Alligator mississippiensis: one gene and its partners. The protein of the gene in region 1 interacts with the protein of each later gene in a pairwise test. Links are inferred from orthologs where the notes say so. Each region holds a gene or a part of one and is shown in the gene's direction. Other genes may lie near its edges. The genes, in order: ADAMTSL4, NATD1 and CPNE7.

The links.
Region 2: the proteins of ADAMTSL4 (region 1) and NATD1 interact in binary tests that used the Homo sapiens proteins (3 or more experiments, as listed by UniProt). The two-hybrid records come from large-scale screens. The link is inferred for Alligator mississippiensis from reciprocal best matches to the Homo sapiens genes ADAMTSL4 and NATD1.
Region 3: the proteins of ADAMTSL4 (region 1) and CPNE7 interact in binary tests that used the Homo sapiens proteins (3 or more experiments, as listed by UniProt). The two-hybrid records come from large-scale screens. The link is inferred for Alligator mississippiensis from reciprocal best matches to the Homo sapiens genes ADAMTSL4 and CPNE7.

What each region holds. Positions count from the first base shown.
Region 1 is NC_081838.1:19,041,500-19,045,240, forward strand, and holds the start of ADAMTSL4 (ADAMTS-like protein 4), read left to right. Parts: upstream 1-1,378; 5' UTR 1,379-1,513; intron 1,514-3,562; exon of another isoform or gene 3,563-3,674; intron 3,675-3,741. UniProt on the Homo sapiens protein: Positive regulation of apoptosis. May facilitate FBN1 microfibril biogenesis.
Region 2 is NC_081836.1:53,946,626-53,950,366, forward strand, and holds the start of NATD1 (protein NATD1), read left to right. Parts: upstream 1-1,245; 5' UTR 1,246-1,289; coding exon 1,290-1,386; intron 1,387-1,991; coding exon of another isoform or gene 1,992-2,113; intron 2,114-3,741.
Region 3 is NC_081833.1:75,885,082-75,888,822, forward strand, and holds the start of CPNE7 (copine-7), read left to right. Parts: upstream 1-1,402; 5' UTR 1,403-3,741. Other genes in the region: RPL13 (large ribosomal subunit protein eL13), read left to right, coding at 247-303, 1,116-1,274. UniProt on the Homo sapiens protein: Calcium-dependent phospholipid-binding protein that may play a role in calcium-mediated intracellular processes.

The sequences.
Region 1 (3,741 bases):
GCTCCAGTGTTGGAGAGTAATAGCATAGCTATGGGCAGATCTAGGATTTTGAAACAGGGGGTGCAGACGGTGTGGTGCATATAACACAACACGTATCTTTCTCCGGGTCAAAAAACCCCAGAGGCATTGCAAATATGCTGGGAGCCTCGGGCTATAGTCTGCAGTTTAAGATGGAAGCAATAACAAATGGATCTGCCTGACAAAGGGTGTTTGTGCCCAAAAGCTTGCAAAGAACAATTTTTCCAAATATTTAGCTGCTCAAGTAAAAGATATCACATTTTCCCAAAGAACCTCACAGGCCTCTTTATTGGAAAGGTCATTAATTTGCTCTATCATACCCCGGGTGTTTAAAAAACCCAGCAACAGAGGCAAAAACAATACATTTTGAGAGCATGTCCAGAGCTTTACTAAAACTTTGTCCCCACGTCTCAGTTTGTGTTTTGAGCTAGAGGTAAAAACCAGTCAGCTGGGCTGCGAAATAAGAGCTCCGTTCCCAGGAGCACCTAACAGGCGGCAGAACTGCAGGAGAGCAGATAGCTTGATTAGCGGAGCATCGAGACAGTTTAAAAAGAGCGAGGGTCGTTAATACATGTCATGAAATGCTGAGAAGGAAGAGCCCAACGAGTCAAGAAGTTGTGACTCCCCAAATAGAAATGCCACTTCTACGGCCGGGTAGTTTGGTTTAAATTTGGGGTGCACGGCATCAATGCACCCCCTGCCCCGATCCACCCCAGCCTCATACAGCAGAGTAACTGGATAGTAAGAGACCAGCACTGCTGCGTTCAGCTGGATGGCGTCCACAGAGCAATAAGTTATTTCCAAATTAAAAAAAAAACAGCTGAAAAGGAACATCTGGAGTTAGCAAACTTCTAAGCGCCTCGGTGGGGAAAGGCTCAGCTGAGGTTGCTCTTCATCAAGCAGATGCTGGATTTTTCCCGCTTTTCTGGAAATTGGGGATTGCAGATTTTTCTTCTAAGGTGGGCAGAAAATGGCCCCGTTGTGCATGTATGTGTGTTTTAGGGGTGGGCAGCGGAGGTGGGGGATAAAAGGAGGAATTTTGAAGTCACTGAAACATGTCGCTGATAAAGACAGAGACATTTTTGTCCCCGGCGCGACCTTCTTTTAACTCTCTGCAGCGTTAGAGTTGCTGGACGGTCGGGCTTATTTTGCAAAGGCTCTTTGAAAGGAAAATTCAGAGCGTTTCAAACAGGTCAACCTGGCACGGTCCCAAAATGCCATGTTCTGGCTTGATAGCAACATCCCCCTTATCTGGACAGACGCAGGACTTTTATTCTCCCCTCCCCCCCCAACACACAACTGAAAGCATCCCCGACCTTCTCTGCTTGGGAGTTTGTGCATCTCATGCTTCCCAGAGAGGAGCCGGGTCCTGCCAGACGGTAATGGGGAACCCCAACCATCCACGCGTCTCATCTTGGGGGTCCCAAGGGATGTTCGGTTATTAGCTTCTGCGGGGGCTGGGCACAGGCAGCAGAATACCAAGGCCACCCAGCAGGTTAGTAGCAGATATGGGTCTCCTTGCTCTAGCGGAGACCCGGGATGAGGTCCCTGGATGGCATCAGGGGGCAAAAAGGGGTATTTGAGCCCCTGTCTTCCAGCCCCCTGGCGTGGGGGGGAGCCTGGCCTGCTGGGGATGAGAGCCAGGCCTGGGCTGGTGCCAGCAGTTCATGCCAAGCCCAGGGAGCTGCATCTCTGCCATCGGGAGATGGTTGGTTTCAGGTTCCTGCTCCGATCTGGGCTGCCAGGGGCCGGCGGGAAGGGGAGAGCAGAGAGCACCTGGGAAGCCATCGTGCTCCTGGCCTTCCCCCAGCTGCTCATGACCCTGGGGAGAACCGTGGGGCCGGCAGGGCTGCGATCCCGGGCCCAGCAGCCAGTGCATCTCAAGGGACCTCCAAGAAGGGGGTCTGATCTGGGTGTCACCAGGCTGGGAGCATGTTACTTGGCCTGGTTCCATGGGGAGCTCTTTGGAAGATGTCTCTTGCCCTGCATGGGGCCTGCAGCTCCAGCCGCAGTCTTGGCTAGCGCCTGCAGGACCCCTGCCAAGTGAATAACCTGCCACGCTCACCCCGTGGGCCAGGGGCTGGTTCCTTGGAGAGGCCAGAGACCCTGGAGGGGGGGTTTCCCAGGCCCTGGAGCAGTGGGGGGCAGGTGGGCCGCAAACACCCCTGCCCACCCTGAGTGGCACTCCAATGCCCTTCTCCTGCCCAATGCACTGCTCTGCTCTCTGCTCCCCGTGCTGTCCACCGCTGTGCTGCCATTCCCCACCCCAGGGGTAACTTTCTCCTGTGCCCGTGAGAAGCAGAGCACTGGGCTGCCGGATACCTGGGTTCATTTCTCCCCCCAGTCTGCCAAGTGAGCTCGATCCAGTTCTGTCCCCTGCTGCGTGCTTCGGTTGACCTAGGTGTGAAATGGGGATAAGAGCACTGACGGCTTGGGGGCGAGAAGCTGCTCTGCGAGACCCAGTGCGAGTGGGGGGATCTGGGCTGAGGGTTTATGAATCGTTTCCAACTGCTCCTCTGTGCACCTGGATTCAAAGGGGCGCTCGTCTATCTGCTGCTGCCCCGGTGGCACTTCACCTGCCCCAGCTGGGCCCTGTGCTGCCCAGTGCAAAGCCGCAGGTTGCCTCTGCTCCCAGTGGGAGCCCGGATGCCTGGGTTGTCTCCTGGTTCCTCCAAGCAGCACCACGCGAGCTGGGACAAGCCCTGGGCCTGATCTGCTCCATGGGGCTGGGGAGAACCAGGGACAGGGCTGGGCCGGGGCCTCCTCCAGACCGGGGCAGGTCAGGAAAGGCCGGAGCCAGCACAGCTGGGCCCTGCCGGGAGGGGCTATTCATGGGGGGACTGTGTGTCTGCCCTGTAGGCTGGGGGGTCTTCCCCACAGATTGTGTGTGCTCCCTGTAGCTGGGGGTCAGGTGTGTTCCCTGTCGATCTGTGTGTGCATGTGTGTGTGTGTGTGTGCGTGAGTGTGTGTATGCGTCTTCCCTGTAGCTTGGTATTGATGTGTGTGTACACAGGTGTGTGCATTCCCTGTAGACTGTGTGTGTGTGCATCTCCCCTGTATGGAGACAGCGTGTGCATCTCCCGTGTGTATGTTGTGTGTGTGTACTCTGTAAAGCTGTGTGTTCATGTGTGCATGTGTCTTTCTTTCCTGTACAGAGTGTGTGTGCACGTGTCTTCCCCGTAGATTGGTATTGATGCGGGTGTGCACAGGTGTGTGTGTTCCCTGTAGACTGTGTGTGTGTCTGTGCATCTCTCCTGTACAGAGTGTGTGTGTCTCCGGTATGTTGTGTGTGTGTTCCCTGTAGAGCTGTATGTTCGTGTGAGTGTGTGCGCGTGTGCGTTCTTTGGAGAGAGAAAGTATAGAGAGTGTGTCAGATAGGGTGTGCAAGCTGTGGGTCAGTGTGTGTGTGTCCCCCAAGCGCGGGGTCTTCTCGGCACAGAGGCAGTGGCGGTGCCGGTGCGGGCCGTGGGAGCCGCCCGCGGGGCGGGGCGGGGCGGGGCGGGGCCGGGCCGGGCCGGGCCGGGGCCGGGGCCGGGGCCGGGACGAGCCCACCGCGGCGGGGCAGCGCGGGCGGCAGGAGGCGGAGCGGCGGCGGCGGCAGGAGCCCGGGACGGGACCCCGCGCCCGGCCGGCCCGGGCAGCGCCGGCAGCAGCAGGTAGAGCCGGGGCGGGAGCGGGAGCGGGAGCGGGAGCGGGATCGGGGCCGGCCGGCGGGCGCGGGTG
Region 2 (3,741 bases), on another chromosome or scaffold:
CTTCTTTGGACTCGCTCAAGCTTGTCCTCATCCTCGCTAAAGTGCGGCACCCAGAACTGGACACGGTCCTCCAGCCGCGGTCTCACCGGTGCCGAGTAGAGCGGAAGAATCACCTCCTTGGGTTTGCTGGAGATGCATCGATTGATGCACGCCAGAGTATTGTTTGTCCTACTGGCTACAGCATCGCGATGCCGGCTCATATTCATACCGTGGTCTATTATTACCCCCGGGTCCTTTTCATGCGTGGTGCTAGCCAGTTTGGTGTGGCCAAGCCTGTAGGCGTGTTGGGGGTTGCTCGTCCTGAGATGCAGCGCTTTACATTTCCGGACGTTGAACTTCATCAGGTTCCCACCCGCCCAATTTGCCAGCCTGTCCAGGTCCCCCTGCATCTGTAGCCTGTCTTCAAGCGTGACCACGCTCCCCCATAACTTGGTGTCGTCCGCAAACACGGCGAGTGAGCTCTTCACCCCCACATCCAAATCGCTCTTAAGGATGTTGAAAAGCACTGGACTGAGCACCGACCCCCGCGTGACACCGCTGCCCACTTCTCACCGGGATGAAAGCAGCATCTGTGGAAGCGGAGGAAGGCGCTTGCATTTGGGAACAGCTGCACCCACCCCGGGGATGTATCCTGGGGTACGTGCAGCGGAAGGACGAAATTGCATTAGGAGGAGTGTTTCCAGCAGCTGCAGGGCAGCGATTTCCCCTCTATTCAGCACCGGTGCGGCCATGCCTGGGCCCCCACCACAGAAGGATGTGGAGAGAGTCCAGAGGAGGGCAACAAAAATGGTTGGGGGGCCGGGGGGCGAGGAGGCACTGAGGGAAATGGGTCGATTTAGTCTGGGGCTGGGATTGAAGAGCAGCCTCCAGCTCCTGGAAGGGCGCTTCCAACGGGGGTGGAGTTGGGCTGGTCGCAGTGCGGGCAGGCGACACAAGGAGAGGCAATGGGCTCAGGCTGCAGCCGGGTAAGTGGAGGCCGGAGCTGGGCTGGTCTCAGTGCGGGCAGGCGACACAACGAGGAGCAATGCAGCCGAAGGGACGCGGGGCAGGTGGCGGGGTCCCACCAAGAGTGGGGAGGGGGGTCTCACACCAAGCCGCACTAGCCGGGAGCGGAGCTGAGCGGAGGGAGGGGGGGTCCCTTTAAGAGCCGCCCGGAATGTATCAAAACAAAAGCGGCGCGCGGCGATTGGCGGCGGCGCGCCACGTGACTCCCAGCTGATTTCCTGGCCGTCCCTCCCCAGCATTGTCTGCGGCGCGGCGGGCGCGGGAGCGCCGTGCCCGGCCCGGCCATGGCCCACGCCGCCGCGCTCGGCCCGCCCGAGCCCGCCGGCCCCATCCGCGTGGAGCACGACCGCCGCCGCCGGCAGTTCACGGTGCGGCTCAACGGTGAGGCTGGGGGCGGGCGCGGCGGCGGGCGGGGAAGCCCTGCTCCAGCCTCCCTCCCCATCCTCGGGGGGCCGAGCGCCCGCCGGACAAAGCCTGGGCCGGGGCGGCGGAGCGGCCTGGAGCGGGGGGGGGGCACCTCCCGAGCTCCCCCAGCCCTCCTTGTCCGTGGGGAGGCGCGGGCGAGCGGCAGGAGCCCCGCCACTCTGCCCCCAGGGGCCCCTCGCTGGCGGAGGTGGCTTGGGACAAGCGAAGACAAAACAAGGGGACTCCCGGGGGTGTCCCGGTTGTCATCCGCCCGCTCCTCCCTGCTGCTGCGGTTGCTTTCGCCCAAGCGGCTGCTGCGCTTGTGACTCTCCCCGTCCGCCTCCGTCGGCATCTCTTTACAAGCCAAGGTTGACCCTGTCCCTCCCTGCCAGCTGCTTGCGTCCTCCGGAGAAAGCCAGGCTTAGCACATTAAAGCCCCCCCAGTGAACCCGCTGAGTTCGTGAGCCCCCTCCGCGCCACCTGCCCTGAGTAACTGTGGCCCGGTAGCTTAGGACTCTGAACCCACAGGGACAGGCGGCGGGCGATTGTTTTAAATCCCTTTCGTTTTTTCTGACGGGCAGCGGAAAGAAACCCCTGTCTTGTGCGTCGCGCCAGGATGCGAGAGATGGGCCGTACCGTGGTTTCGGGGCACGAGGCGAGATGGGCCGCACCGTGGTTTCGGGGCGCGAAGGACGTTCTGGAGGCAGGTGTCGGGTTTGACTGCTTAAATTCTTGATAGGGAGTTTTTGGGGGGTGACCTCCGGCTTTGGCGCTTTGTGGGAGCGGCATGAAGTGGAACTGCTAAGGGGCCAGATTGCAGAGATATATTTTTTTTTTCTTTTTTAAGAAGCATTTCTAACTTGGGAGGGAGAGGAAGACCAGGATTAGCCCCTGGTTCCGTCAGCGTGTGAGTGCACGTGTAACTTCACTTGTTTCAATGGGACAGCTGACGGTAGCAAAGAGGAGCATCCATGCGTGCGTCTTGAGGATCGCGTACAGTCATAACATCCAGCAGTCAGGAAGAGGCCCTTTTAAAGCTTGGTTCCTTTCAACACATTTGAAGTCCTCTCCGCCGCCCCTTCTGCGGAGAGCTGGCTGGCTGGAGGGTCACCTCAGTCTAATCGCGTGCAGGCTTCGGTCCAGCAGACTGCGGGTGCACGACTAATCCTCTTGAAATCAGTAGGACCACTTGTGTGTAAGTGTTTGCACTAGCGATAACAGGTCCTGACCCTGCCGCAAAGATCCCGTTTGCTGTGGGCTCCGGTAGCTCCCCCACTTGCATTTATTTTGCAGTAAGAAATGAGATAAAGGCACCCCACAACGCTTCCTGTTGTCTGGCAAAATCTTGATCTGTGATAGTTCTAATAGTTAAATCTAATTCTCTTTCTCTCTCCTATCTTCTTGCTGTACAGAAATTGCAGGGTAGATGGTTATAAAAATGGATGGCTAGTTCAGAAATTATACGTGGAGTAGGAGGCATTCTCAATAAAACAACAAGAATAGCTTGTGTCTTTTTTTATTTTAGAAACTTCCCCCCTCTCAAACCACTAATTACAAAGTGTAGTCTTCAGGCTCAGCAATGGGTATAGGCAGCAAAGGAGACTAAATGGTGCCCGGTGACTGAGAAAATGAGCAAGCCGAGGAGCAGACTGGATTCGGTTTTGATCTCTTTTTGTGAGTGCGCGCACAATGCAGCATGTTTCCTTTTGAAGTGTGCAGAGGCACACGTTGGCCTCCCCGTTTTAACACTTCTGCGTGCCGACAGTGAAGGGAAGGCTCAGAGCAGACGGTTGTTTTGAGGAAGTTAATTTTTCAGCATTGCACCCCTGAATACTCTCCGCCAGTCAGATATTGCAGAGGTGCTTGGCTGTGCTGTCCTGAGGTCGGGCAGGGCAGCTTTCACAGGCCACAAGCAGCCATTCTGCTAGGAGTGGACTCTGTGCTAGCGTCCATCCTGACAGTCTGACGGTTGATTGTCACCTGCAAAAGCTCGGGCTGCTCTGAGCCACCCCGCCCTGCCTGCCAGTCAGTCTGGTGACAAAGTGACCCTTAGCTGGAAAAGAGCCTGGCGAGAGAACCTCAACCCAGCAGGAAACCACCTATGCAAAAATATGAAGTGAATAAGCTAGTGTCAGGCCGTTCCGTTGGCTGCAGGCCTGATATAACCCTAAGGAAGTCTGGGAATGTCCCTTGGCTTCCGCAGAGGTTGGTTTGGACCCTAGTGACCGGTGTTTGGAAGCTCAGCAGGTTGGCAGGCAGCATCACCCATGACTGCTGCTGATCCTGTGAGGGTCGGGCCTCGGCTCCTGTGCTGAAAACTTGGCCCTCCGT
Region 3 (3,741 bases), on another chromosome or scaffold:
TGCTTGTGTGTTTCTGGGCACTCTAGGCTGGATGTAGAGTGAGGAATGAAAGGCTTGGAGAAGAGGCAGGAGGGTCTGAACCTTCAGGGACCCTGCTCCAGAGCCAGGCAGCAGGAGCCATGCACAGGCAGGATTTCGGCTTTTGGTTTCGGTGGTGACCTGGGTGGCTTCAGGGCTGCTGCTGCAGGGGCCTTTCCTGCAGGCCTCTACGGACTTCCGCAGTCACTTCTCCCCTCTCTTCCGCAGGCAGAAGAGCTCAAGATGGCGACTCAGCTGTCCGGACCTGTTATGCCTATTAGGAGTGTAAGTGAAACTGCAAGTCCTGTCCTTTGTTCGACTTCCTTGACTCTGGGTGGTGCTGGGATGGGAGCTCTGACTGCAGAGCAGTCTGTCCTGATGGCTTTTCCCCCTTGCAAGTGCTGCAACGTAACACTGCGGTTAAGTTGTGCCGTCCCCAAACAGCACCAGCTCCTGAACCCAAAGGAACAAGAGTCTGTTAAACTTGTCCTCGTGTCTGAGAGGAGTTGGCTGGCCGAGTCCTGTGCCACCGCAGAGTGCAGGGCTCAGCTGAGCGTGTGTTAAAAGTGCTCTAAGCACAGCTTTGTCAGTGTGAAACCACCTGAAATGTGTGGCTGCTGCTACTGGCATGGCAGCTCAGCTCCCCTTCAGACAGCTCTGCCTTCCAGCTGGGGGGAGTCGTTCGGCCCTGGGTTCTGCGCTGAGGATTCAGGCTGACATTTGGAGGGCTCTGAGCCGCACCAGCAGCTGCGTGTGCCCAGCTGTGCACATTGGCAGTGAGGTCTCTGCAACCAAGGGGGCTGGCCAGTCCCACTCAGGCTGGCCAAGAGAAGCCGTGGGTTTGTGCAGCATGCACTGGAGCCACTCCTGCTCTTGAGGCATTGCCCAGCAGCTGTGTGATCTGGCCATGGGAGGGCTCTGCTAGAGGTTGTCTGTTGGCATGAGCTGGGAGCTGCATGGGACAAGGCCTGGGTGAGGTATCCCTGTCAGTCTCAGCATGTGGCCGCGTGCAAGTCAGTGCTGAGCCTTTATCGGCGCGTCTCTGGCAGTCTTTGCCCCTGTGTGTAACCCCCTGGCTCTGGCTCTGCTCCTGCCAGGTGTACAAGAAGGAGAAGGCCCGGGTTATCTCGGAGGACGAAAAGAACTTCAAGGCCTTTGCCAGCTTGCGCATGGCCCGGGCGAACGCACGCCTCTTCGGTATCCGGGCAAAGCGAGCCAAGGAGGCTGCAGAGCAGGACGTGGAGAAGAAGAAGTGAGCACCTCTCCTTCGAACTGTTAATAAAAGAGCCTAGGACCGTGACCTGGTGTGGGGTCTTCTTGGGCCACACAGAAGGGACTAGGACGACCCAGGAGGGGCAATGCTTTCACTGCCACACGGGCATCAGGGGTTGCTCCTTTCCCCCTGACTAGTCTGCTCTGAGCACGTGCACCCCACGCCACACAACCACAGGCCTCGCCCTAGTTTTGGTGCATGTGCGGCCTCTTCCTACAGGGCCAGGGAAGGGGCTCTAGCAGCCTAGAGCAGCGCCTTTCATTTACACAGCAAAAGTTCCCCGCCAGCCCGTTTCCGGTGCTAGCCCAGCTGCTTTGAGGGATCTCTGAACAGATGGCTGCTGACTGATGAGGGAGGACATCGCCTCCCCATTCTGTTCCCTTCTAGTGGCAGCCTGCTCGCTTTGCCTTGGAGACGGAGCTGAATTTCCCCACTCAGGAGCTTGGCTGGATCTAGCTTCCCTTGTAAAGGGCAGCGCGACATCCGCTGTGGCCCTTGGCGGTGGTGAGGGGCATCTGTCTAGTGCCACAGTAACCACGCCTTCCCCTCCCGCAGTCCCGGATGCTCCAGGCAGGTTTGGGGGGAAGTAGAAGGACTTGGGGGCCCACTGGGGTGCAGCAGGCTGGCTTCAAGGGGCTGGATTTCCGATGTCCTCGATTCCCCCTCTGACGAGACACTTGGGGCTGGGCCCTCAGTAAGCAAGCTGCTGGCTGTCCCATCACATTTAAAATGGAGGTGGGGTGAAGGCTTCCAGGAGCTGCCTCAGCCCCTTGTCAGCCTCCTGCACAGGAGCTGGTACTTGCTGACGGCTTCCTCCTATGCAGCAGAGAGCAGATCTCGCGGGGTCCCAGTCCCCCTGTGCATTCGGGCACTGCCTGAGCACTGACCCCCACCGGCTGGTCAGTCCTTCACCCCTTGCCCTGCAGGCTGCCGTGCTGTCGCTTGCTTCCAGGGCAGCATGGCTTGTCTGGTGTTGCTTAGCAGTCGGCTTTCAACATCCAAGGCATCGGATTTGGGAGAGGGCTGTTTCCCTTGCCTTCTGAGCATATGAGGGCTGTCAATGCTCCCTCCCATGCCCAGATCCTGCATGGTTTTGGGTAGGGAGTGTGGCTGGGCTGTCTCCACTAGTGCCGAGTGTTGCTTTGCAGTCTGAGCAAGCCTCCCTTTCAGGGCTGCGCCCCATGGGGAGGAAGATCAGGGCTGCCTGGGTCAAGAGAAGAGCTGCGCCCGCATCCCTCCGGCGAAGGCTTGGCTACTAGAAGGCGAGCATCTGTGCGGGGGCGGCGGCTGCCTGGTGATTCAGGAATGAGCCGGGAGTACTCGCTGCCGTTGCTGTGCACTCGCTTTGTTCCTGGTGGTTGTAGCACTCGTGGGTCTTGAGGGCACCCTGCTCAGCAGTTGGAGAGAGAAGCCCAAGGGGATCGAGGAGGAGGAGGGCCTGCCCTGCGCCCAGGGAGCAGACCTGCTGAAATGCAGCTGCCCCTGGGGTGGAACACGGCATGGCACCGTGCCCCTCCGCGGTGAGAGCGGGGAGCAGATGGAGCGCATGGCCCCAGAGGTGGAAAGGGGCCAAGACGCAAACCAGGAACACTTGTCAGATGCAGCTTGGGGATGAGCGGGCCCCTGGCTGGGTGTGAGGCTCCCGCTTCCCCCCTCACCACTGGCCCAGACAGGTCTTGCTCCCCAGCAGGGTCCTGAGCGCTCCAGCGTATCAAATGCTGCCCTTTTGCCCCCAAACGTGCTTCCCATGCCCCCTTGGCTCAGGTTCCCGGGCCGAGGTGCAGTTACTGACTTCTGCCACGTGATGGAGCAGGTGGCTTCAGCTCCGGTTGGTTTCCTGGGAGCTCCAGGGTGGGGGTGTTCCCCCAAGCTGCTGGGCTGGGGGCAGTTTCTATGCTCCTGTGCCAGTGGGGCAAGCACTGGGCTCCCTGGAGCCATCGGTTCACAGGGCAGCAGGTCCAGTCCAGCCCCCGCTTTGCCCCCAAAGGGGAAGTGTTGCTCCCTTGCGATTCACTGAACAGGGCCGTCTGCTCAAGGGGCCGGTGCAGATGCTCCAGCATTGCCGAGTGGCTTTCTCTGGCACCCCACCCCGACTGCTGCCTGCCAAGCAGCTGCTGGGGGACCTGGAGACTGGTGCCAGCCACGTGGCTCCTTGCCCAGCTCCCTTTGGCCGAGTCGGTGTCAGGGGCACAGGCCCGGTTCAGCCCCGGCGGGCCCTAGCCACGAGCCAAGCTGTCAGGGCACCCCAGCGGCATCCGAGCGGAGGCAGCAGTCGGCATCCGAGTCCCCTGCCCAGCGCTGCTCAGCGCCACGTGCCAGGCTGGCAGCAGAAGAGCCAGGACAGGAGACGACGCTTCCCCAGGGACCTTCCCCGGCTCTGCCAAGGTACAGACCTGCCCCCCTTGCTAGGGGTGGTGGGTGAGCCCCCCGGCCACTCCAGGGGGCTGGCA